Struthio camelus: one gene and its partner. The protein of the gene in region 1 binds, or shares a complex with, the protein of each later gene. Links are inferred from orthologs where the notes say so. Each region holds a gene or a part of one and is shown in the gene's direction. Other genes may lie near its edges.

Region 1 (13,219 bases):
CCCAGAAACCCACAAAAGTAAACAGGTATTACATAAGCATAACAAGTTTACTAAACATGGCTTGCTTTTATGAAACGAGCCTAACTTTGACAGCCTGTTTTCCAGGCAAAAGAAATACTGTGCCTAGATCTCAGTAAAACATTTGGTATCTCTTGTTTAATGGAAAGCATCAATTTAACAATGATCAGGCTCAGTACGACACAGTAAGTGTAAATGGGGAGAACAGAAGGGAACAGGAGAGGTGGCAGACAGGCTGGGGAAGAGGAGAGGGAGGTCAGCAGTGGAAGGAGGGGACTGCCACCCCTCTGCATACCACCCTCCGCATCCTCTATACTCATTGAAAAATTCCTTCAGAAGCATAGAGTGCGTCCCTTTGACAACCACAAAGGGTCAATCCAGCCTCCAACACTAGTGAGCCAAGACAGAGACAACAATGCATAGATTTTTTGGTCCCAGGACATTGATGAAGTTACTTTGTAACAGAGGAAAATTTTGTTCACAAAAAGGAACACACAGGTTACCTTTGTACCTTCGGTGGCACAGCAGGAAACAGTGAGGGTCTAGGCTTCACTACTGCTGACCCACATGTTTTAAAAGAGACTTCCAAGGTATGAAAAGCCCTATCCCCCCCATGCCACCAGCTTTTAAACATTGTTTTTGGTCACTTGCTCTGGTGGATATAAGCATCCTTTACATACTAAACACTGCCAAAGAGCAACCGAGATGAGCCAGATTTAGTTCAGGCACCCGACACAACAGGGCTGAGGACAATCTAAGTACCTCTATTATTTCGTCACTGTTTTTTAAAAAAAGAACGTTATTCCAAATTAGTAATATGACTTTCTACCAGCAGATGGAGACAAAACCACCGGACTAGAGAGAAAAGTAGCCAGTTTCGGCAGCCCATTCTTAAGTAACAGCACCAAGAGGCACCAACGCAGCTTTCACTTGCGGCTAGCGTCTGCAGGAGCCAGTACTCCTCGGCAACGTAGAGCAAACACGCCTCAAGGCCCCCGTCCGACGCCCAACGGTTTGGCCCGGCTTTCTCGGCAGCCCTGCTCCCACACTGTTACCTTTAACGCTGAAAGCGGAGGGCTTACAACCAACTCGTCAGGCCCCGCGACGGGCCCAGGCCGGCGGCAGGAGCGGACCGGAGGGGGCCAGGCCTGCACCGGGACCTCCTCCCCCCGCGCCGCAGGGCTCCGCCGCCGCCGCCCGAGGAGCCCGGGCCCCAGGCACAGCCACTCGTCCCGCTCTCCGCACCACCGCGGACCGAGGCGGAGCGCCGCGCCGGCCCGCCCGCCACAGACCCGCTCCAGCATCTGCGCCTCCCGCCGCGGCCGCCTTCTAATGGCGGGCCGGCCGCCCCCGCCCCCTTGCCCGCGGCAGCCAGTGAGAGCTGCGCTTGCTGGGGAGGGGCGTGTTGAGGGGGCGGGTTGGCCAGTGGGGCGCGGCGTTGTTGAGGGAGGCGGGGCGGGGCCAGCGGCGGGCGGGCGGTGCTGGGTGCCCGCCCGCCCCCTGCGGCCGCCATGAACTCGCTGGAGCAGGCCGAGGGTGAGTGGGGCGGCCGCGGGCGGAGGGTGCCGGGCTGCCCCAGCGCGCTCCGCGGGGCGAGGCGGCCCGTGAGGCCCCGGCACCCGCGGCGCTGCCCTGCTCCGCCCTTCGTGCCGGGACGGGGCCCCGCGGCGCGCAGCGCAGGGCCGCGGGCTCGGCTGCGGGGCAGGGTGCCGAGGGCCTGAGCGGTGCTTCAGTGTCCAAAAAACCCCGGCAGAGGCTTAAACGCCTCGGCGCGGCGGGCGCAGGAGCGGAGGGAGCCGACAGCCCCGGCTCCTGGCCCTGACTGCCGGGCTGCTGGCAGCAGTGAAAGGTAGTTAGCTGCGGTGTGGGTAAGGTCAAGGTGCTGCGGTTTTCCCCTCTGAATTCACCTGCAAACCCGTTAGGAATAAAGTTAAAATGTGGAAAACTGGCTCAGTGACCGTTGTAATAGATATATGTCTTCTAATCTCCTCTAATTGATTTGTGAAGGTAGTTTAAATAATTTGGCAATAGTTAGGAGCTGAAAGAAAACATTTCCAACAGTTGCGCTAACTGAAGCACTTGATTTGAAGGCCTGTATTTTTATGCCAATAAAAGCTTTAATCCAGGTAGAATTTTAGCTTTCACCAGCATATTGTCAAATATTGACCTCATTAAGCAGATGCTTAGATCTAACGCAGATAAAACAGCTCCTTGTAGACAAACGTGGTTGGCTAATGTTGTAAATGAATTAGGACGATGAACTTGAAATGCTGCTTGGAATTAGCAGCAATTTAAATAGGAAGGTCTTAAAAAATGATACCAATAAGAGGAAAAAAAAAAGCCCTATGCAGAGATTTGTTTGAAGGAGAAAAAACAAAAGTGGAAGATCTTTGGCCTGGTGTCTGCTGTGTGTGGTTTTCTTTTTTTAATTTATTTCTAATGGCAGGTGGCATACCAGGTTTGTGGTAAATAGCAAAGTCATCAAGGCCACGCTGCTGCAAATAATCCCTTGAACAGCTTGCAAACAATGAAACTCTTTTTCACCAGTGTGTAGTTAATAGAACTTTAATAGCTTCCTGATATACTTAATACTCAGAAGTATGACATGTTTCCCGTTGCGGAGGGGCTATTTAAGCTATTCTAAATCTACGTCTAGGTATTATTAAAGAACAAGTGATGTATGACGTCTTTGGATTCTGTCATTATATATATTTTTTCTTTCATAAGTAGGACTGTTTCTTGCATTTAGTGCAACTTCATCATTACACTCTCTAGCTGGATTTGTGCAAAGCTGCTCTGACTTTACCTTTATGTCATTTGAATGATCAGAGAGTTGGTTTTCTCACTTTCTTTCTGTTTGAGATGGGTGTGCATAATGGAGCAAGTGAATTCCTTGCAACTTTTACACTAAAGCTGGGCTAAACACATGAAGATCTAATCGTGCCTGATATACGTTCTCCTCAGATCTCAAAGCCTTTGAAAGAAGACTTACTGAATATATTGCATGTTTACAACCAGCTACAGGACGTTGGAGAAGTAAGTTTAATGTTCTAAGGGATGAATAAGATTGTCTCTTTGATAAGTGTTTTTCATTTTTCATGTATGCCTTTCGTTTATGTTTACCCTAACAAAAATTCGTGCTTAAAATCTTTTTACAGTTTCTTTGGCATGTGCACAGGCACATACATACTGCAGGAAGCTTCTAATGTGTTAACTTAGAGCTAAAATAAAACAGGCTAGTAAACAATGGCAAAGCAGCATGACAAGCGTTGTTAATACTTGCCTGGTTGTTGTCTGGAAGCAATGTAGTGGGTCCCAATGAGCATTCCCACCACCGGCTAAACATAAATTTGACCGTTTGAAAAGCTTGCAAAAAATTAAAGGAGTTATTTTATGTCTCATGATGTGAAAAGTGGCTTGTATAGTTGTCCTTGCAGATATGTTGTTTAAAACTAATATTCTAGCCAGAGTTTGAAAAGCGAGATCAAGATTCCATGTGTTTGAAGGCTGAAATCTGGATTTTGGCTTTCCTATTTGTTCTTTTCCTTTTTTTTCTTCATTTGCCCTAGTAAAACATTTTACCTCTATGCAAAACTTCAGGCTTTGTGAAAAACACTAAGAGCCGCCAAACTTGCAACGAAAGTTGTAAGGTTTTATAGGTATTTAAGCTTTCTGTACCTTTATGTATTTTTCTGATTTTTTTTTGTTTGTTTCTTTTGCCTTCCTCTTTGCACTGTCCCCCACCTCAAGTCTCTAGGTCAGTCTGGTATCTTGTGTTACTCTATTTATCTCTAGCATTTTTCATTGATAGTGAACTGATTATTCTTCCTAGCCATTCAGGATGCGTAGAAGTTTTTGTTAGTCTTTATGTGCTAATGATAACATACCTTGTAACTGTTGTTTAAATGTTGTTTTGTTCTCTGTCAGCTTTCTTTGTTAATAAGTGTGTTGATGGAGAAAGCATAAAAGACTGTAGATGTTCAACTTAAACTGTTGGTGCTAATTCTTCAGGCTTTTCCTATATTGAACAGCGATCAGGACAGAAGCTTTAGTTCTGCTCTGAAATGTAATGGCTTTGCATTTCTGTGGCCCAGAATATACGAGCTCAAATTTCAGACTGAAGAAGAACGTTTGGTGCAACTCTTATTCCAGTCTTCCAGCTTGTATATTTTTTTACTAGCTCTGTTATTTTAGAAACTTTCATTTCTTTGAAGCATTGGGATGTTTTCACTTGGCAGAACTTAGTTTTTGGTACCTGTTTGTCCTGTCCTGGAAACTTATACAGAATCTTTGCTGTTTAGAACAGAAATTTTCTTTGCCTGTTTTCATCTCTACCTTCCAAGCAGAGGTTGTTCCCCCTTCAGAAGTGGGAGAAGAAATAAACGCTTAAAGTTTCTAATGAAGGATAAATGCCTTTTGCTATGAGGGAGTTATGCTGCTTATGACTCTCGTTCTTTTCTTTATCAGTGATTCTGATAGTGGTATCCGTCTGCACGGCAACTGGTGCTTGGAACTGGTTAATAGACCCTGAGACGCAAAAGGTAAAGATCATGCTGATCCTGAATGTAATCTGTTTCCGAACTTGGTGTTGCAGTAGAATTGTAGTAATCTGTACAGTAAGTCCAGTGCTATAGTCAGATGTTACAGTATCTTGAAGATCGCAAGGCTAAAGATGGGTTTTGTACCTGGGCACTTAACATGGCAAGGATAGAGCCACGTAGGTGCTATCTAAAGTGTAGTCAAAACCATGAGGCAGCAGCATTTGTTCTGATTTCTGGGGCAGTATTTCTAGGACAACAGCACTGGAGACCAACCCTTAGATAGCTTATAAAGCTCACGTGACGTGATTGTGAATAATAAAAACTAAATTGAGAATAACACAGGCAAACCAATGTCATAGACCACTGTGCGATGTCGTTTTTTGTTTTTGTCTAGGAGCCTCAATTTTATCTGCAAAGTCGCCCAAAGCAGTCATTGTCAAATGGATAAACTTTAGGTAGAAGACCATTAGGTTTCGGTAGTAGATGTATAATCTGATCTGGTTCTTAAAAAATATTTCGTTCCGTTGTCTGTTTTAATTAAAGCATTCTGTGAAAGTGGGAGAATGTTTTCAGTTAAGTTCTCAAGCTCTCTGGAACTGTTATGGAGTACATATTGGGACAATGCCTGGAAAAATGCTACTAATAGACCGCTTCTCTAAAGAATTGTTCACAAGTACACAGACATGTTTAAGAGCAATATGCTTTGAATCAAGTGACTAGACACCAACTTTCTGTATATTTTAGAAAGTCTATCCTGGAACTAATCTGACTTCTTTCCTAGGTGTCATTTTTCACATCACTTTGGAACCATCCGTTTTTCACAATTAGCTGTATTACCCTAATAGGCTTGTTCTTTGCTGGAATACATAAAAGAGTGGTGGCACCATCAATGTATCCTTCGATCGTCTTTGTCAGGTTAAATGTGGTAGTGACTGCTGTTATTGAAGCCTCTGTCAAAGTTGCTTTTTCTGTTTTGACTTAGAGTGTGTAGAAGTGTTAGCTATTTTCCTTGATGCAAGCCATGCAGTATAGCAGCCCGATGTCGAACTGTTTTGGCAGAATATAACATGTCCTGTGATGATGTAAGTGTTCGCAGCTCATTGCCTAAACGTTTTTTAAAAAAGATGTAAATAAATAAAAAAATGCACAAGTCTTTTTCTCTGTACAGTGTGTAAACGCCTATGTGTGTATATACACGCACACATACACAGACTTTAACAAAAAATGTGTCTGTGTAAGTGGAATGTAGAATACTCAGTATTGTTCCGTGTGTCATTTTAAGCTTAGCCTGTAGTATTGAACTCAAAGTATTATTGTTAGACAAAATTTTCAGGGTCTAAACTTTATTTTCCTTTTCTGTTTTGCAGACTGGAAAACTAATTCTGAAACCTAGGCCTCATGTTCAATAAGGGTCATCTTCCTTCAGTTTTTTCCACTGCCATGGAAACCAAAAATGACCTTTTTTTCCAGGTAGTATGACAGCAAAAACCAAACAGGACTGGTTGTCATTGCCTAGGAGCAAAAGTCTTATACAGTTGACAGTGAAAGTGTGCAATATTACTTTCTTGAATATTTATCCAAATTCTTTGTTACCATATTATCAGTGCTCTTGCTACTTCTGATTACCTCTTTTTTCAGTGTTAGTGTCACTTTTTTACTTCAGCTAGAACAAAGCATGCAGGTGAAGTATGTTAACTGGTTAGAAAGTTGAACTTGAAAATCAAACCTCATTTGTGTTATGTGTCTTTGTAAACTATTGTAAATAGCAGATCAATGCCAATGTTCAGAGAAAAAGAGTAATATTTTGCTGTATGGATTTTTGTTGTTGTTGTTGTTGTTCTCCTGAACAGTATTGTAAGGATCACTTACCATTTCCATGACTTTTTGTTAGCACACTTACTCATTACAGCTGTCCGTGTTTCCTGGTCACTATTTTTGGAACTGGCTAAAAGGCTTGCAGAAAGGCTGCCTGTCTGCCTGTGCTGGAGAAAACTGGTCGTGTTGTCTAAGAACTTTACAAATAGACAGAGGATCTCATTTGTCAAACTGTACCTATAGTGCACCAGACACTTTCACTGTGGTTATACATAGCTCATTGTTTGATCTGGTTCACGACACTGCTGTTTTAATCAGATTTTAATATTTTTAAATTGTCTTGAATATGCTTGCATCCTCCAGATTGTAAGATTGTACTGTACCTTAATTCCCCAAGACTATTGAGTGGATTTTTAGTCTGTGATAGTCAGAATATGAGACTAGTATTGGAAATAACTTCAGATACAAATTATTTGGTGAATTATGGAGAGTGCCACAAAATAACAGAATTTATTTCAAGTATTAAAAACAAGATGCGCATGTTATATGCGTAAAGTGTAACTTCTTGAATAGTTAGCACTGTAAATAGTTTAAAGAGTTTAAGTGTTCAAGGTGCCTTTTTAATTGTTTCAAGCTCCTTTAATTGACTAAGACTGCAAAGCCACTGCAAGTTTAATAACCCATAACTACAAGCAAGACTGCCCCTTAAAGGGAACCTATTGGCTTAACCAATATTCCTTTTTTTTATTCCTTTTAAAGTCAGTTGAGACATTAAAAACGATCTTCTATTATTTCCAGTAATTCTTTCTCCTGCCCTTCCATTATTTTTAGCTGCTGTATATTTTGTAGGTAAATGTGTATAAAATAAAGTCGTCCTATAAACAGACGTTTTCTTTCGTACTGTGCAAATGCAGATGTGAAACGAGCCCAGGACACTTCAGAAGTTGCTAAGTGAAGCCCGTAACATTGCACGTAGGGAAGGCAGGTCGGTCCCTGGAAGCGATTGTGATAATGTGAGGTAGCGCGGCGGGAGAGAGACGGCGGTCCAGCCAGCCCTCCGTGGTACAGGTCGGCCCTGTCTTCTGGGGGCGCGCAGGAAACGCTCTTTCCTTCCGCGGTTGCCTTGCCCGGACGTGGGGAGACATCTGGGCAGGGCAGAAGCCTTGGGAGCTGCGGGCCGGGAGGCGGCGCGGCCGGGAGGCGGCGGCGCGGCGCTGGGCGGTGCGGCGCTGGGCGGCGCGGCGCCTGCGCGGGCGGCCACGTGTGTGCGGCGGCGGCGGCGGCGGCCCGGGCGCGGGGCCATGGGGAAGAGCAGGGCGCGGCGGTTCCGCCGAGCGCCCTTCTCGCCCGCCGGCGAGCCCCCCGCGGGCGGCGGGCGGCGGCGCGGCCCCCAGGACGGCGCCGCGGACGAGCCGGCTGCGGAGCTGCTGGAGAAGGTGAGTCGGCCGGCCGCGGCCTGGCGGCGGCGGGGCGGGGTGCTGCTGCTGCTGCTGGTGGTGCTGGTGGTGCCGGCGGCAGCGGCTGCCGCTGCAGGCTGCCGCGGTTTTCCGGCGGACAGGCAGAGGGGACAACGAGCCCGGACCCCCCACGGAGGAAATTACTGATAGAAAATGCCGTGTTGAAAAAGACTGGACGTAGCCACTTGCTCACCGTGCTCCTCTGTTTTGGGATTAAGCATTGCTGATGAAAATTACACTTTAAGCCCTCATGTGCACGTGTTACGTTGGTATCAAGTAAAAATCTCTGTTTTCCTTTAAGTATTCCTTCCTTTTAATTATTTCTTAATTCTTTGTTCACTTAACTGAACTGATTGAGCAAGTCACTGCTTCATTATTCTTCCAGACTAACTTTTTAAAGTCAAAAAGTAAGTGTAGAAACAGAAGTGTGCAGGAGTGGGGAGGTACTGAGGCTTCTCTCCGTGTTTCCAGTGGGGCAGGAGCTGGTTTACCACTCCTTCCCACTCTCTTCGGCAGATATTCACCTTCTCTGTTACCCCTCTTCTATAAGGGAAATTCCATAACCACCTGTGTAGTCAGTTCTGCTGTCTTATTATTTTTCTGGTTAGCAATTCTAATATCAAACCTAAATTTCTGTTGCAGGTGTTCTTCTCTATACAGGTGTTTTTATAGTGAGGACTATTATGTCTTTGCCTTTTTTTTTTTTTTAATTCTTCAGTCTTTCTTTATCAGTACCGTTTCTTATGTCCGTTACACCTGTTTGATGGTATTTTTCCCCACTTGTGTGTATATGTTCTTTTTAGCATGATCATCAAAACTAGGAACGAGGTCTTGCTAGTGTCAAGTCTGTATCTAAACAATGGCTCTCTTGTTCAACACCCAGAATAAGATGCATCCAGTCATGTAGTTAACACACACAACCCAGGTAAAGAATTAAAATCTTCATGGAGATTAAAAGCTCTTGATTCTATTAAGGAGTGATAAAATAGGAGCTACAGTGCTGTGGTCTGCAAAGCAAAAGGCAGATCATTTTTTTTTCACTCGGTAAAACCTTCCAGCTTCATTCTCCTCCCCAATTCTGCCTTGTTTGTGTCTCTGCAGCTACAGCATCCAAGTGCTGAAGTGAGAGAGTACGCCTGTGCCAGTATTTCCAAACTGTTGCAGCAGAAGCATGTAATCCCAGCGTTTTTGCAGAGAGATGTTGTCCGGTGTTTGGGGCCTATGTTGCTAGATCACAGTTTAGCTGTGCGTGAGACAGCAGCAGGGGCTCTCCGGTAAGCAGTTACAATATTCAGAGTTAGAAGGAGGTGCTCTGGGCATGGTAAATAAGAGTGGGTTTCTGCTGTTAGAGTTCATGAACTGGAATGTCAGTCTCTTGTTTTATCTCTGTTGTGATTAAGTGCGCATGACTCGCCATATTGAGATCCACAAAAGAGAGGTCTGTCTCGTTCCAGCAGGGTGCCACCAGGCTTTCGGAGCAGGAACAGGGTTTGAGGTAGCTACCACCGTTTTACCTCCTTGCGGTGGAACGCGTTGTAACCTGTGCTTATGTTAGGAAAACCCTGTTGTATGAAGCAACAGAGAGCACTTGAGTGCTGTTGCTGTGGTATTTCCTGTCTCGATAACATGACAGGAACGATGGATTAGACGATGCGAATACCTAGTTTTTCCCCAAAATTTCTGAATATTTGATAGCATTGTTTTGAGTTGCTGTTCTGCATTCAGACCAACATGTACAAAAATGTGTTAGCATTTGCTTCAGAAATAGAGCTAATTTGTGATGCGTCTTATACTCGTTGAGTAATTAGCTGACAGAAGTCATGTTGTAGTTCAGAGAAGTGGGTAAGTGAAATCTGTTTTGTTTTCTGAAACCAAACTTATTTTTGGTTAGAAAGGTGGAAGGCTAAAGTTACTGATTAAGCAGATACATTTTGTTTTAAAATGGATCATAACCTTAAGAGAAGCAATAATAAATGCATGATTTTTTTTTTTTTTTGAAACATTCATAGATGGTACTGTATCTGATCCAAAGTGTTTCATCTTTCCCAGAAATCTCAGTGCTTGTGGAGGATTTGAAGTCTGTGATGACATGGTGACAAAAGACATCATGACACCCCTTGTCGCACTTCTGAAAGAGGTGTGTTTGTTTTTGCTCAGATTTAAAAAATTGATTTAGTTATTGAATTATCCTCTTCTCAAAAATAGTTCTACTTTTGTAGCTATTCTCAAGGTAAGGTCTTTAAAGGAACCTTTTGGTAGATTAAATAGCGTTCCTTTACCTTTAGGAGTGTAAATGCCATACACTTTGAATGCCAGCCAGGTGGATTCATAGAATATATCTTATCATCATTATATCGTTAGGATTTGTTAGTGAACTTACATTGCTGCAACTCTTGCTGTGCAACTTCTTGAAAAATAGTACTGAAGTGATGCTAGAGGTTTCAAGCAAACATTTGTTTCTGTCTCCTGGCCTCCTGGGTTGGGTCAGTGATGATGTTTGCTGCTTAAGATGATTTTTGCATAAATGGTCTGGAGATTCTTAGTCTTGAATCTTATTCAAGACCAGCCTATTCTGTCAGGCAGTGTTCGGATCGAACATTTAGGTTGCATCATTTTTTTTCTGGTGACTTTTTTGTTGTTGTAAAGAGTGTTGTCTAAATCAATGCTTTCATTTACAGTTGGGTAGTTACTGCTGTTGTATAATCTGCACTGAATTCTTTGTTTTGTCCAGGTGCAGTTTAGGAATTGCATTGAGTTCTCTCTCCTTGCTCTTCATATGAGCAGCCTTGAGCAGTACCACCATTGTCTGTATGCTTCTTCCCCATTATAAAATACAGGTAGTAGCACTGTTGTGAAGCATAGCAAGATACATAGCTGAATTAGTCTCTGTGATTAGAACTATTGCAAATTGCATGAAAAACTATACTAACAAGAAGTAGCGTTTCAGTTCTAAGCTTGCTAAGTATTTGTTTAGCCAAAACAAAACAAAAAAAAAAAAGCTTCAGGAGACTGTTGAATGCAGAACAAGTACTGTAAGAGAGTCTGTTTCTACCAGGGAAAGAAATCGATGATTCGATTCCATTGTGGCCCTGGAGAAGAGGAAAACAGTCAGGTTTGCTGCTATTAAACACTTGATGAGAGATCTCAAAATTTCTTCTGCTTTGAAAGTTTTTTAGGCTTTTGTTTTTTCTCTTGGCTTGTTTGTTTCCCAACCCCAGTTTTTTTATTTGGTTGTAGTGTAGCGCTGGACTAGATGCTAATCAGCTCTCTCCAAAGAAACGCAGAGAAATGAACAAAAATTATGTTGAAGACATAGCCAACGAGGCTATTAACTTGCTGTGGAATGTGTGGTAAGTTCTGTGTTAACCTTGGCCTCTTAGAAGAGCTAAATTAGATTGCCCCTAAAAAAGTTTTACATGGTAATTGAGGCAGAAGGGAAGTAGCTCTCCTTGCAGGGGAAGATTATTCAGTTGCCGATTCTCATTTCTGATCGTGTTGCTCCTATGCGTGTTTTGTATAATAAATAGTGAGTCCTCATCTGATCTGAAATATATTTGTTATCTTCCCCTGTAGATTGCTTTTGTAAGTGAAGGATTTTAAAAGTGCACCAAGTTGGTCATTTGTTTAAGGAGTGTGGTAATTTTATCTCCATTGATTGCTCATCCTGAATTCTGATGTTGTTTTCTGAGAGTGTTCTGTCAACGTCTCTTTGAAGACACTTGTACAGTTGGGGTTCTGTGGTCTTGCATGTAGTTCCTGTAGATCCTTATTGTAATATGGGAGATAGAACAAATTAATTTCTGATCAGTGGACTGCATTGCTCTGGGAATATGAGGAGTTCTTCACTTCTTCATCTCTGTGCAGGTCTCTTATATTAAGTTTATATCAAGTGTTTGGACTAACTACTCCTTAGTGACTTGGGCACTAGCACAAGTCCACTTCATTATGTGACAAAAAATGTGAATTGTTTGCTCAGTGTTTCTAATGTTAATTACTTATGGAACTAAGAGAAATAGCAACACTGTTAATACCAATAGAGCTATAAACATTGAAGCAGTGCAAGCGTGTATTAAAAGTAGTCCTTGAACTTTATTTTCTTGCTGTTGATTTCGATTCGGTATTGTTACAGTTCTATGTCATTACACGCTTTGGTCCATATAGAGTTTGTCTTACGGTGTACAGTACTTCAGGGGAGCTGCCTATATGTCTGCCTGTATGGAACGGCTGCTGGTTTGAGGCCTTGTTTCTAAATCTGTTTTTTTCGTGACTGAAATCTAGAACAGTACAGAAACTGCTTGCTTGGCACCTTGTACAGAATATATGACCCCTTGTTGCAACTGTGACTCAACTATCCGTTTTTGTGTTCATTTCTTTATTGCTTTTGCAGACAGAAGTGCTTTGGAGCAGGACCATGATCTTTAAGTGTGCTATAAATCACTTCTGTATTTTGAACGCTGTGGCAATGACAGTGAACCACTGGCATCATTGCTAAGTTTGGTACTGATAAAATTTGAGCTGGCATTGATGCTGAGCAATAACATTTTAAAAAATCTTTGAAGACCCGCATAGCTAGTTAGGTCCTATGCTTTTTTTTATTCTGAGTTTGTCTCATATTAATGTTCTGGCATAAAAATGGAAATAGCTGTAAAAATATGAAGAAATACAAATCCAGCTAGTTACCCAATTAAATGGCACATTTTATATTGTTTGTCTACAAAAGTGTGCACTTTTGTATGTCAAGTAGAAACGAGTTTTCTAGAGTTCTTAGACTCTTATGACTACTTAGATGTGAAAGGCAACTGCTCGTTGTTCTCTGCTCTCAGTGGCTTTGTAGATGAAGGGTTTGACTGCTGCCGAAAGCCCAGGTCTGGCTTACGGCTATAAGCTGCATTGCCTTTTACGCTCGTGCTGGTTTGTCTGTTTGCATGAGACTGTGTTTAGGCTATTAAACTCCAGAAGCAAGTGTGAAGAAGTAGCTGGCAGAAGCCAGCTTTGCCCAAAGGTGTCCAGGGTATTCTAGCCTCTCACCACTCTTATGAAGAGTTCACTATAAGCTCAATAATGAAAGATAGCTCTGGGACTAATGTGTAATTCTTAGGTGGATTTTTAAAATACAAATGCTAGAAATGCTGAGTACATGTTACTTGAAGTTTTATTACAGTATATTTTTCCTGGGAAAAGTGTTTTATTAATCTCTTTTCTGTGTTAGTGAATGCAACAATACAGCAGTATCCATATTCAATAAAGAAGGGTGTCTGGAGGCTGTATTACATTATATGAAGAAATTTTCCACAAATGTAGATCTGGCTATTTCAGTTGGTAAGTGACAAAAAGAGAAGCTAAGGATCTAAAGATATATATATATATATGTAAAATTTTCTTTATTAT
Region 2 (11,666 bases), on another chromosome or scaffold:
AGGTTCTGTTCCAACACCAGCGAGAAGGTTACCTTCGGATGGCCAAAGTTGTTTCTGCTGCCAGCTGCCCACCCCACCTCTCTGACATGCTCCAAACCCTTTGCAGGAATGTATGAGTAGCCCATGTAGCAACTTCTATAGTTTACAGTATATAAGATTAAGGTAACCCCAAAACGCTGCCGGTTCACCTTAATACACCAAGCTGTAAGCTTTGTCAGAGCTCTGCTGCTCCATGAGCAGTTATGGGTGATCTCTGCTCCTGCATGAACAGTTATGACATCTCTGCAGAAGACAATTCACCAATAACGGGTTTGGGAGACTGCTGTAGACATGAACCACAATTGCTCCTCGAAGGGACCAGCCCCCTTTGCAAGCCAGGCTGTCACTAATTCCCACAGTAGCAAATCCAGTCGAGCAGCTTGCTGTTCCAGCTCAAATGCCTCGCCACTCATTCACACTCCCATTCCAACCCTGAAGCTACCTCCTTTGGCTACGCTGCTTCAGCTACTTGGTGGCCACAGTCTAAATCCTGTGAATTGACTCAGTTAATCTCTGGGACTTCTTTTTTTCTGTGCAAGAACTTTTTAAACCAAATCTGTTGTCACTGGGTAATGACGTATAGTCACAGCCTTAGGTTTTATGACATTTAAAATGAAAAATATTTGTTTAACAGAAATTGTCCTAATTTATTCGGAACCACAACACACATCCCAGGTACAAGCACGTACAAGTTTATAGATGATTCTTGTCTTACATGAGTCACTTGTGGTTACATGTGGATGAAAACCTGCCTAATATCTTGGATTGAACCTTTAAAGTGCTGTTTTACTGTGTGCAAAAAGATTTAAACACAGATTTTTTTTTTTCAATTGATAACTGTCAACTGAAAAGGTATTAGTGAGATCCTGAAGTGACTGCAACTGATGTAATTGAAGCATCACATTTGAAGCACAGCACTTAGTAGCTTTACTTGGACACCTACAGGGTACATTATCAAAGTAGCTTGTGGGAGGCATAGTCGCACACACAAATGCTTTTGTTGCTTGTTGGCAGGACCTGCACGTATGCTCCCCACTGCCGATCCTACCACCTTCAACGTGCATTTCATAACACTGATGTCAAAGGTAGCTTTAAGAATGTAGTAGTTTGAAAACACACTGAGCACAAAACTCCATCCTGACTGATCAGCCTTCACGATGAATGAAAATGTGGAGGATAAAAGGAGATAAACTGGGTATGGGGAACCATTTCCTTGCTGAGTGCCAGGTAGTGCCAAGGCTTTGAATACAGCTTTGGAAAGCAGCATCTCAGCATCCATCACCATGCCACCCGCTGAGGATGGGGAGAAGATTCAAGAGGTTCTGGGCTGTATGAAAGGATGCTCGGATCTATACTTAGCCCAAAGTTGCAGATTCCCTAAGGCTGGTATAAGTCCCTGAAAAATGTGATCCTAAACGCAGTGCATTGTTTTGCTTTGGCATCAGGTCTCATCCTTTTTTCTTTGGTAAAAATCATCATTCAAAACTCTTCCACACATGTGAATGCAAGAGAGGCTTAATAACATGCACGTGATATTTGTACATGTACATAAAAGGCTGAGATTTTCTATTGGAAATACGGCCCAAGCTTTTTTTTTAAACTAAAGGACGCTTCTGGAAAACGGATTGCCTCTGACTCACAAAAGCATTAGAATATAGGAGCTGACGCAGTCATTGTTGGCAAACATACAGGAATTTATCCTAATCTCAAATTCATGTATTGAACCCACAGCTCCATTTGATTTCCCTTGTGTCCTTCTGTCAGCAAAAATCAGCAGGGACTATGGCACATCCTCAGTGTCATAGATGAATACTTATCCATGCTTCTTCTCACTTCCAACACCGGTGAAATTCCCAGCCAGGAACCCAACTCAAGAACAGATGAACCATTTTCGTTCCTCTGGCTGTGAGTGTAGACTTAATCTAGGGCAAATCTCTGCATGACAGATTTCTTTGTAAAAGAAGGCAACATGTTCAATAGCTTTTTTTTTAAACTTGTGTAAGTAATCTCATGCCAAGGTATAGCTCTGCTCTGGAAAGGTGACAAGCGATACTGACCCTGGAAAAAGAGTATGTTACTACATTGCCATTCTTTCCGTCACTGCCTTATAAAGGCTTCACTCCATTCTTTGCATTCTCCTAAAAAGACTTCTAACAAGACCAAGCCACACCATTGTTGATATTTTCAGTATTAAGGCCACGCTACAAGAAAACTTTCTCAAAAAAAAGGTCATCGTAAAGCTCATAAAATAGCAAAACATATCACCATCTGTTTTCAGCCTGATTCCCCAGTGCACAGCCAGATAGGCATCGTGCGCTTGGGAAGGCCTCAGATTAGCTTAGTTTACGTTTTGTTTACCCAAAATGAGTTCAGTGAAACCACACAGTCATAGCCAGTTAACTGATCAAAATAAATTACAGTCTACCAATCACCTTCCACAAGGTCTGTAGTCTTCCAGATCTGAATGCTGTCTCCCCAGCTATCTATGTTTTGGCTTCTGAACCAGAAATCAGACCCTACTCAGTATTTGCTTGTAATTGCATTTCCAGTTACTTAGTTCTAGGGTTTGGAACTATAGCTACAGCCTCCTGAGTTTCATCTTCAGGGTTTTTTTCTCAAATACAGAATTCTGCTAATACTGCAATAAATGTTGTCTAACCCTGCTCATCTACAACTCAGTCAGGAAAGTTTTTAAGCATGTGAGCAGAGTTAACATCATTAACATCAATGGAACAATCCACATGCTCAAAAATAAGTATATCCTTTAATGCGTTGTTAGGTTAAGGGCTTGCTTCAGTGAAGCCATGAGAAGGAATTACCTGCTGTCTGTAATACCTGCAGCCATAGTTCTTTCTTAAACAGCAAAAGCCATAACTAATAGGCATATTTGTTATATACTGCTGAAGTCAATGCCTGTAGTCATTAAAAGACTGTAGCACAAGCCTTTTTTATTTGTTTACTCCTGGCAGATAGTTTGTTCACAGCGAATAGGAACAGTGAATAGGAAAGCGTTTTCCATTAGCCAAATTATTTACCTACTAAGCTTTATTATTTGTACTGCAAAAACACCTGTATAGGACATAGATGTATGTTGTAACACTTTGGGATAAAAATGTATGGGGAATTTGTCCACAAGCTGTAGTACTAATTTTTACTTAATTTAGCTTCAGTGAGCAAACAGCTTTTTCCTTACTGGAAGAAATCCTACAATGTAGATTTTACTTCAAAGTGTTCTGAACAAAATCAGTGAAAAGGAATGATTTGGAGACAGTGTGGGTATTTTAAGGGCACTTTCTACTATTTTCCAAAATTACCAGCACTTTGGGTTTTCCTGATAGAAGTGTTCTTCATAATGATCCTCACAGCAGGCTTAAGAATGGATTGAATCATCTTCTAACTATATCTACTGCCATCCAGAGGTAATTGGCAAAAGTTTGAAGAGTAAATCTAAGCTAATGGTATCACAAAAGGTGAGACATGAATAGGGAATATTAGAACAATTCCTATTTTATACAGACTTAAAGTTGTAGCCCAGCCTAACAGAAACTAAAAAAAAAAATTTTTCTAATAGAAGAAGAAAAAAAAGAAACGTTACATCACTTTGACATTGTAGTTCATTTTGTGCATTAAATATATCCTGCATCATGCTTTCTATTCATCTTTTGGACAAGTATTTCTGCAAATTACATTACAAATTATATCTTAGGTTTTTCATGCAGAGTACGTGCTTTTCAAAAACCATTATGCAACCTTTGGTATTAAAGCAGCTCTTGAATCTAGCATGAGCGGTGGGCTTTTGATTGAAAACTGAGAGCGCTCATAATCTGAAGGATCACATCCCAGACTTTCAGATGTGACTAGCTAACATTGTTTAGGTGTCCAGATGTCAAGCAGTAGCCATATTTAAAAATCAGGCTTCATGTATGAGAACAGGATAGGATTTTCAGAGGAACCTGAAACTATTAACTCTAATTGATATTTCCAGGGTTCTTAAATCTACCGTGTCTCTTTAAAATTGAAGCTATAGTGATTCGGAAAGAATTGCAATGCAAAAGCACAACAAATTGTATTAAAAAGGATAATAGCACTCTTCATGCCAATGTACCCTCTATGTTCATCCTGGGGTTTTGTATCAGACCTATCATGTACTGAGGAACTAAGAAAAACGTATTGATCTGAAACATCCCCGTAACTTCAGGTAAGGAAAGCTGTGCAGCCACATGCATACTTCTGTACTACATCCTCAGGAGTGTGCATCATCCTTGAGGGTGCTAACTGCAATAAAAGCAATTACAGCTTTCTACCCCCAAGAAAGCCTGCACGTTGCCACAGCATCCAATTTCTGCCTGAGTTTCTCACAGTTCCGAGAGTTAGGAAACGCTAAGGAAGTAAGCATACGCACACACTCATGTGCGCATGCACACACACACAAGTTACAGATTACTATAATTCATGGTGAAGAGAGAGAGAAAACCAAAGGAAAGAGAGGGTAAGGCTGAAACTGTGCAAGTATCTATGAACTATAATGCCTCCAATCAGGGAAAACTCCCTTCAAGCGCCATGGCTGAGCACTCACAAATCCAGCCACAAGCACTTAGAGAAATGTGATACTTGAGATTCTGAAACTAGGAACCTAGAAGTGGAGAGGACCAAAATGAACAAACATTTCTAAAAATTCACCCTTAAAAAATCTGCTGCAAAAGCCTGTTAATAAAGCTTACACACATGCCTATTCACTTCAGGGAAGCTCTGTGCCTGCTTGTAATTCTCAGCTACAAACTGAGAGTTATAAATTCTAAGCATGACTAGGATTATTAAAGCGACCATCTCAGAAGCTGCTTCTCACCATCAGATAATTTCCTAAAATATGATTCCATTTACAAATTCTGTTTGGTTTACAAATCCACTCATATATTCCAACTGCCATCTTACCAAGCACATTCTGAAATCTCAACTCAATAATATCCTGTCAGCAGTAATGGTTTTGTAGTCAGATTTGAACAGCAGGCAATATTGCGCTGAGTAAACCTGGAGGAGGGTAGAAGCTTGTTTGCATTTTAATTTTTAACTTAGAAGCTCCATGCTATCGTGTGAAACATGAAGACCAATTCCTGGCATGCATTCCTTCTGTTATTCTGTCGATACAAAGTAATCATTAAATATCAAGCCAATTTTGTAAGTGTAATAAATTTTATCAATTATGTCCCTTCAATCCGAGTCATTTACCTGAAGACTGTTGGGCTTTGTACAAATATAAACCAAAAGAGCCCAAAGAGCTAGCTATCTAAGGATAAGATAGGACAGTACAGCGACCAAGGTATCAACCGACTGCCCCAACAGTGCCCCTTGCTTATGCAGTATAAAAGTATAAATATATGCCTGAACTTATTTGTGTCAAAAATAGTATATGTACATCTCTGAAAACTGTCTTTAATTTAATCTATAATTTCAGGTGAAAGTATGAGCTGTCCAGGAAAGTGAAGAAAGTAGTATGCAATGCAATGCCATCTTGTGGTAAACGGGAAAACTGTCTATGGCATCTAATTAGGTTTTAAATGCATAGGGAATTTGCTGCTCTGTAGTGCTTGAATCACACTCAGACCTGTTGGGTTGAAAAAAAAAACAAAAAAAAAAGATTCTATCATAATTATAATTATACAGTATAAGATGTGATATGCTAGGCAACAGATTCCAGGAATCAGTTTACAGGAGCAACATTTTATTTTCATTCTAAAAATACAGCTGTGACATTATACTCAGAATCATTTCCATCACCCCAGACACAAGTTAAGGGAGGGGACGTGTTTAACTCAGTAGCAAATTCTATCCAGTATAATAATTCCCGTGACTTTTTGTTGGCTGCAGCGAAGTCCTGTCATGAGCTTGTTTTTAGGGCACCAAAGATCAGCTCAAAACGTCATGACCATACGAGCCAAATCACTGCATGCTCTATTGCTGTAAAAGGATTCTGCCGTATCTCATTTGTTTAAAAATAGCACGGCAGTATCTTTGACCTGGCTGACTTTTTTGGTGCATGCGGTATCACCCGACGACCTCACTCATCGTGCCTGACGAGCCGTCTGAGGGGTGCTGCGGCTCTCCCCGCGCACCTCCTCTCCCCTTGGTGTCACAGGGCGGCCGGCGGCGGTCGCGAGGGAAGCAGCCTCGGCGCTGGGGTTGGGATCAGGCCACTCATTGCCTGGCCTAAGCTTTAGCAGTGACTTTGACACCTAAACGTTACGCTGCAATAAAAACAGAAAGGATATTTCCCCATGTCTCAGCCTTAACCTGCCGGATATTTGAGTGCTACCGCGCAACCCCTTACGCAGCAGCAGAAGGCGGCGAGGCCCAGTTTGCGTTCTGGGTGCTCTGCGTGCCCTGCTTTGGCCTCGTCTCCCTGCTGCAGGCAGCGAACGCGCTTTCGGCGTTGGCCTTCCTGTACACGCCAGCTCTCTTCACGCCCCTCCTGCCCCAGCCCCGCTCGCCAGCTGGGCCGAACCGGCCCAGGCAGCGTCTACCCCCAGCTAGCCAAGGGCAACCCGCGCCTGGCAACTTCACTGGGGATTTTTTGCGGGGAGGGCTGGACCACAAGTCATGTTGATCATTAAATAAGTGGGAGAAGAGCTGGAGACTTTCTGACAGGAGCAACGGGCCGCCCCGACGCAGCCCCACGGCCTGCGCGGAGACTACGGCTCCCAGAATGCAGCGCTGCCTCCTGCCCCTCCCAGAATGCCGCGCGCCGCCGCGGGCTGAGCGCCGGGCCAGCGCGCACTACAGCTCCCAGAAGACAATGCGCGCGGCCCGCCCCGCCCCGCCCCGCCCCTCCCTTTGTGGTTCCGCGCTCCCTTCTGACGTGCTTCCGGCGCGCTGACCCGGAACGGAGCTGGGTCACTTCCGGAGCCGGGCGGCGCGAGCTGTCCGCACGTGTCGGCGCGGCCCGGCCCGCTCCGCTCCGCCGCCATGGCGGCCGTGCGCGTGGAGGAGCTGCTGGCCGCGGCGGAGGAGCAGGAGGCGGAGAAGCAGCGGAGCATCGCGGTGCACAAGGAGCTGGAGCTGGAGTTCGACCTGGGCAACCTGCTGGCGCTGGACCGCAACCCGCCGGCGGCGGCGGGGCTGCGCGGGGCCGGCCCGCGGCGGGAGGCGCTGCTGCGGGCCCTGGCCCGCGACAACACGCAGCTGCTGGTGGCGCAGCTGTGGGCGCTGCCGGCCGAGCGCGCCGGCGGCGCGGCGGGGCCGCTGGTGGCGCAGCTGCCGGAGCCGGCCTTCCGCCTGCCGCGCGAGAAGCCGCCGCCGCGGCCGCGGCCGCCCACGCGCTGGGAGCAGTTCGCGCGGCTGAAGGGCATCCGCCGGCGGAAGCGCACCTCGCTGGTGTGGGACGAGCAGGCCAAGGAGTGGCGGCGGCGCTGGGGCTACCGGCGGGCGGGCGGCGACCCGGCCCGCGACTGGGCGGCGGAGGTGCCGGCGGGCGCCGACCCGGACGAGGACCAGTTGGCCAAGCGGCGGCGGGAGAAGCGGGAGCGCGTGGCGCGCAATGAGCTCAACCGCCTGCGCAACCTGGCGCGCGCCCACCGCGCCGCCGTGCCCGCTGCCCCGCTCCACCCCACGGGCCACCAGAGCCGCGCTGAGCTGGGCCACGCTGCCCGCGTCGCCCGCCTCTCCACCGCCTCGCTCGGCCGCTTTCAGCCGCGGCTGCCCAAGGAGCCAGCGGAGCCGCCTCCCCGTGGCGCCAAGAAGCGCCGTTTCGCGCCGCTGCTGGGTGACCTGGCGGCCGAGCGGAGCCAGCAGCTGGAGCTGCTGCGTGGCATGAGCAGCAAGAAGCCGCCCCTCGACATCACTCGTGCCGTCAACAAGCAGCTCCGCGAGGAGGATGCCGAGGCGGCTGCCGCCAAGGGCAAGAAGCGGGCGCAGCGGGGGAAGCGCGGTCGCCGGCAGCAGCAGCGGCCCGGCCACGGTGGCAAGAAGAGCGGCAGCAAGAAGAGTGGCGGCAAGCGGCAGCAGCGCCCTGTGGGCAGTGGTGGTGGCAAGAGGAAGAAAGCATGAGGTGGACTGGCACCCAGAGGGACAGAGTGGCCTGCAGGGCTGAGCACGACTCAGGGCCGGGGCTGCTCACCAAGGGGCAGGAAGGGACTGCTGCTGACAGCCTCCTGCCCAGTGCTCGGCTCTCACACCTATTTGTCAATAAATATGCTCTGGTCTTTCTAAAATCAGCATTTGGCTCTTGGATAGCAGTCAAGGAGGGCAGCGTCCCTCTTCTAAGAGGAGTTGGTGGTATATCACCAGAGTCAAGTTCCCCAGTTACCCCCAGGTTAGGGGCTTTAATGGGGGCAGCCAGATAGCTCCACAGCTGGCCCTGGCTGCAGCATTTTGAGACAGACCTCAGTCCCTGTGCAGTCAAGTTGCTCTTAAGTGAGAAACACCTAAGATTGGGGCATGGAACTCAACTCAAGGGCGGTAACTGGTATGTTAAGTGCTGGTGTGATCAAAGAGAAACGCAGTTAAAGGATGAGGTACTGCCTTTTGCTTTGCGCAGTTAAAGGATGAGGTACTGCCTTTTGCTTTGTGCTGCGGGTAGGTAGCCTGACTGTGGAGCTCCTGCTTTGCAAGTCATTGTCAACTCAGTGGTATTCAGGCTCGGTTGTGAGAGGAGGGGCATGAAAGCTATTCCTGTAAGACTTATTGCAGGGCCTGAGAGGTTACAAAGATTTTATAAACCTCTGCTGATTTAAAAAAAAAAAAAAAAAAAAAAGCTGTTGACCTGCCTTGAATTCAGCAGATAAATGTTCACATCACACAACAGGGAAAAACTCCCAAATTTCTACCTGTACTATCTCCTGAGAGTAAGTCATCATTTTTATAAAAATAGCTTCATAGTGTTTTTTCTTTACCAAAGTGTTTGCAAACAGATATTAGATATGATCTAAGACTTGTTTATAACCGTTTTAAATATAGTGTTTCCTGTACCCTTGAAATGAAAAAAATAAAATTTGCTGTTCTATTATGTGACTTAGCTACAAGAAGGAGGATGGTCTCCTTCTCTGAAGCCAGTTCCTGCTATGAGGATAGTAAAGTAGGTTCTCAAACTTTCAAGTAGTTAAGACTGTTATCATAGCACTCTATTGCAAATGTGTTCCTGGAAGGGCTGAATAACTCTAAAGCAATTAATCTTTCATCTCACAGTAAGAGCTTGCTGAGATGGCAATTGAGTGTGATTAAAAAGCCAAAGGTCCATCTGTAGAATAGTGGTCAGGCTGGAAGGAGTAGGCATTGGTACTGAAGGATTTCAGTGGCATTAATGCACTGAGTATAATGGTGAATTTCTGTCAGCTTTACATAAAATATCTATTCTTAGCCTTTTAAAAATTTCGTACTGCTGTGTCAAGTAGTTTTTACCACTGTTGTCTGCTTCTGACTGGCCGCTGGCAGCGGTGTTTGTATGGATGTCATCCCACTGAAACCAGCTGTTCAGCACAGCTAGCAAGGCAACAGAGGCGAGAAGTCCTTGGAAATGTGGAAACAGTTGTTCTGAAATAGGTTCTAGACTTCCAGTTTTCCTGCGTTTCCATAGGATATGTCTTGTTACCTGCTCAGCTAGAAAGCATTTTCTTTTTAGAGAAGTATTTTATACTGCTGACCCACATTTTACTGGTGAATTTTCTGAAGCCAAAGACTTGTCTACAGAAATGCTGATAGTTTGTGGATTTTCAGTAGTGATTATAAAATCAGTAAAGACCAATGTAAACTGCTTCATGGGTGCTCCCGGTTTCTGAAATTTATAAATAATTTCACGTTTCAAAACTTGAAGAGGTGAAGCACAAACTGATTATACACAAATTGTATAGTCATAAACTTCACCTCATCGGTGTTGCGAGTTGAGCAAGGAGGAGTGTGCTGAACAGCTAGTTTGAATATGCTTTTATTTGCTCCATGTCTTCCATGTAATTTCATAGGGCATCTAGCGCGCTGTTGCCCTCCTTCAAACAGGTATCAGTTGGATTTTGCCGGATATATCAGGCTGACCTTGCAGCGTTCATTTTGGGAGCCTGAATTAGCCTTACAGCTGTCATTTCAACCACGCGTTTTCTCCAGCAGTACTTTATAAGCAACTTTTCCGTACCATCTCCTCCTGGGAGGCCAGCTACCTACCCGTCCTGCACAAGCCCTTGCTTTCGGTAAGCTGCGCAGTCCCTGCTGAAATCCGTTTGAACTTTGGCGGCCGCGTCTACATCGGCCGTCGCCTCTGCTTATCTTCGCAGAAGACCTTTAAACCGGTGGGTACTGCCCGCTCCCCGGCGGGACGGCCGGCGGGGGAGGGCAGCGGGCGGCCCCGCCGCCGCCGCCTCCCGGCAGCCCCCGGCGGTGGCGATGGCGGCGGCGGCGGGGCGGGAGCGGGCCGCGCGCCTGCTGCGGCAGTTGCAGCGCGCCGCGTGAGTGAGGGGCGGCGCGCGGGCTCGGGGGTGGGGGGGGGCGGCCGTTGGCTGCGGCCGTTGGCGGCTCTGTGGTGAAATGGCCGCGGCGTGTGAGGCCGAGGAGTTTTTGGGGGGGACACTAGCCTTGCCTCGGCCTCCGGTCATAACGCACAAGCTTTAAAGGTGTCTTCGTGTGCTGTGTGATATTCTTTTACCCCCCACCCCCACCCCTTTCTTTAACTGCAAGGATAACCTGGATAGGAGAAAGCGGTCTGTCGGCGAGGGCTGGTTTTTGCACAGCAGAACCGGCCTGGCCGCTTGGGAGCGGCACGAGCGAGCGGTGGCGGTGCGGGGCCGAGGCCTGGCCGGCTGCGCGCTCCTCGCAGCCGTCGCCCTGCAGCCTTGTGCCAAGCATTCGCGCCGTTTTAGATACGAAAGCAGAGCGTTTTGATCTCAGACTGCGGTGAGCGGCTCTCGGTGCTTCACGGCGCTGTGGCTTTGGGCACGGCTTCCCTAACGGGGCAGGTGAACTAGCTTTGCCCTGCTCACCTTCGCTGATGCTACACCGGAGGAGAATGTTAATATGCGTAGTACTTTTTTTACACTGTTACTGTCCCATCTCCCTCCTAGCGGAGCTGTAATTTTTCGTGTCTAACACTAACCTCTCTCACCATCTGCGTGCCTTGCTCCCTTTCATCTGCCGCCAACGCAATAGGAGCGCTTCGCGCGCGCTGATTCACGTTCAGCAGCATCACTGAAGGCCGGGGCATATCACATCCACTTTACTGAAATCCTTTTCCTTTCTCCTGGGCACCTATTCAGTCTGTGTGGTCTGTGAGTCGCATACCGTAAGCACCTAGGTGTAAGTTGTACTGCAGCTGCTCATTACTCTCACAAACAGTTCTTAGGCCCTCAATATAGGCAAAGACGTTATCTACATGGAGCACTAGATGGCAGTCACCATTGTCAAAAATTTTGAGGTAAAGCATGACAAATGAATACATACAGGAGACTGCCTTTTACATGCAGGTTAATTTGCCTTCTTCAATTTTTTCTTATAACTGTGATTTTTTTTCTTCCTTTTACTCAGATGTCGGTGCCCAAGCCATAGTCACACTTATTCCCAAGGTAAGACTTAATTTGCGTCTCCGAAATAATTCTATGTGAGACCATGACCTTGTACCCAGATTTATAACCTGGGTAGAGGGAGCACATAAAAGG

Evidence for each region.
Region 2: HEATR3 (region 1) and RRS1 share a complex: the UniProt entries of both Homo sapiens proteins name them as parts of the hexameric 5S RNP precursor complex. The link is inferred for Struthio camelus from reciprocal best matches to the Homo sapiens genes HEATR3 and RRS1.

What each region holds. Positions count from the first base shown.
Region 1 is NC_090951.1:16,812,655-16,825,873, forward strand, and holds the start of HEATR3 (HEAT repeat-containing protein 3), read left to right. Parts: upstream 1-7,669; 5' UTR 7,670-7,675; coding exon 7,676-7,810; intron 7,811-7,964; exon of another isoform or gene 7,965-8,100; intron 8,101-8,364; exon of another isoform or gene 8,365-8,756; intron 8,757-8,932; coding exon 8,933-9,105; intron 9,106-9,880; coding exon 9,881-9,968; intron 9,969-11,068; coding exon 11,069-11,181; intron 11,182-13,040; coding exon 13,041-13,150; intron 13,151-13,219. Other genes in the region: CNEP1R1 (nuclear envelope phosphatase-regulatory subunit 1), read left to right, coding at 1,530-1,554, 2,983-3,054, 4,486-4,559, 5,341-5,450, 5,587-5,641, 5,927-5,968. UniProt on the Homo sapiens protein: Plays a role in ribosome biogenesis and in nuclear import of the 60S ribosomal protein L5/large ribosomal subunit protein uL18 (RPL5). Required for proper erythrocyte maturation.
Region 2 is NC_090943.1:132,523,715-132,535,380, reverse strand, and holds RRS1 (ribosome biogenesis regulatory protein homolog), read left to right. Parts: upstream 1-6,916; 5' UTR 6,917-6,999; coding exon 7,000-8,079; 3' UTR 8,080-8,246; downstream 8,247-11,666. Other genes in the region: ADHFE1 (hydroxyacid-oxoacid transhydrogenase, mitochondrial), read left to right, coding at 10,402-10,463, 11,536-11,573. UniProt on the Homo sapiens protein: Involved in ribosomal large subunit assembly. May regulate the localization of the 5S RNP/5S ribonucleoprotein particle to the nucleolus.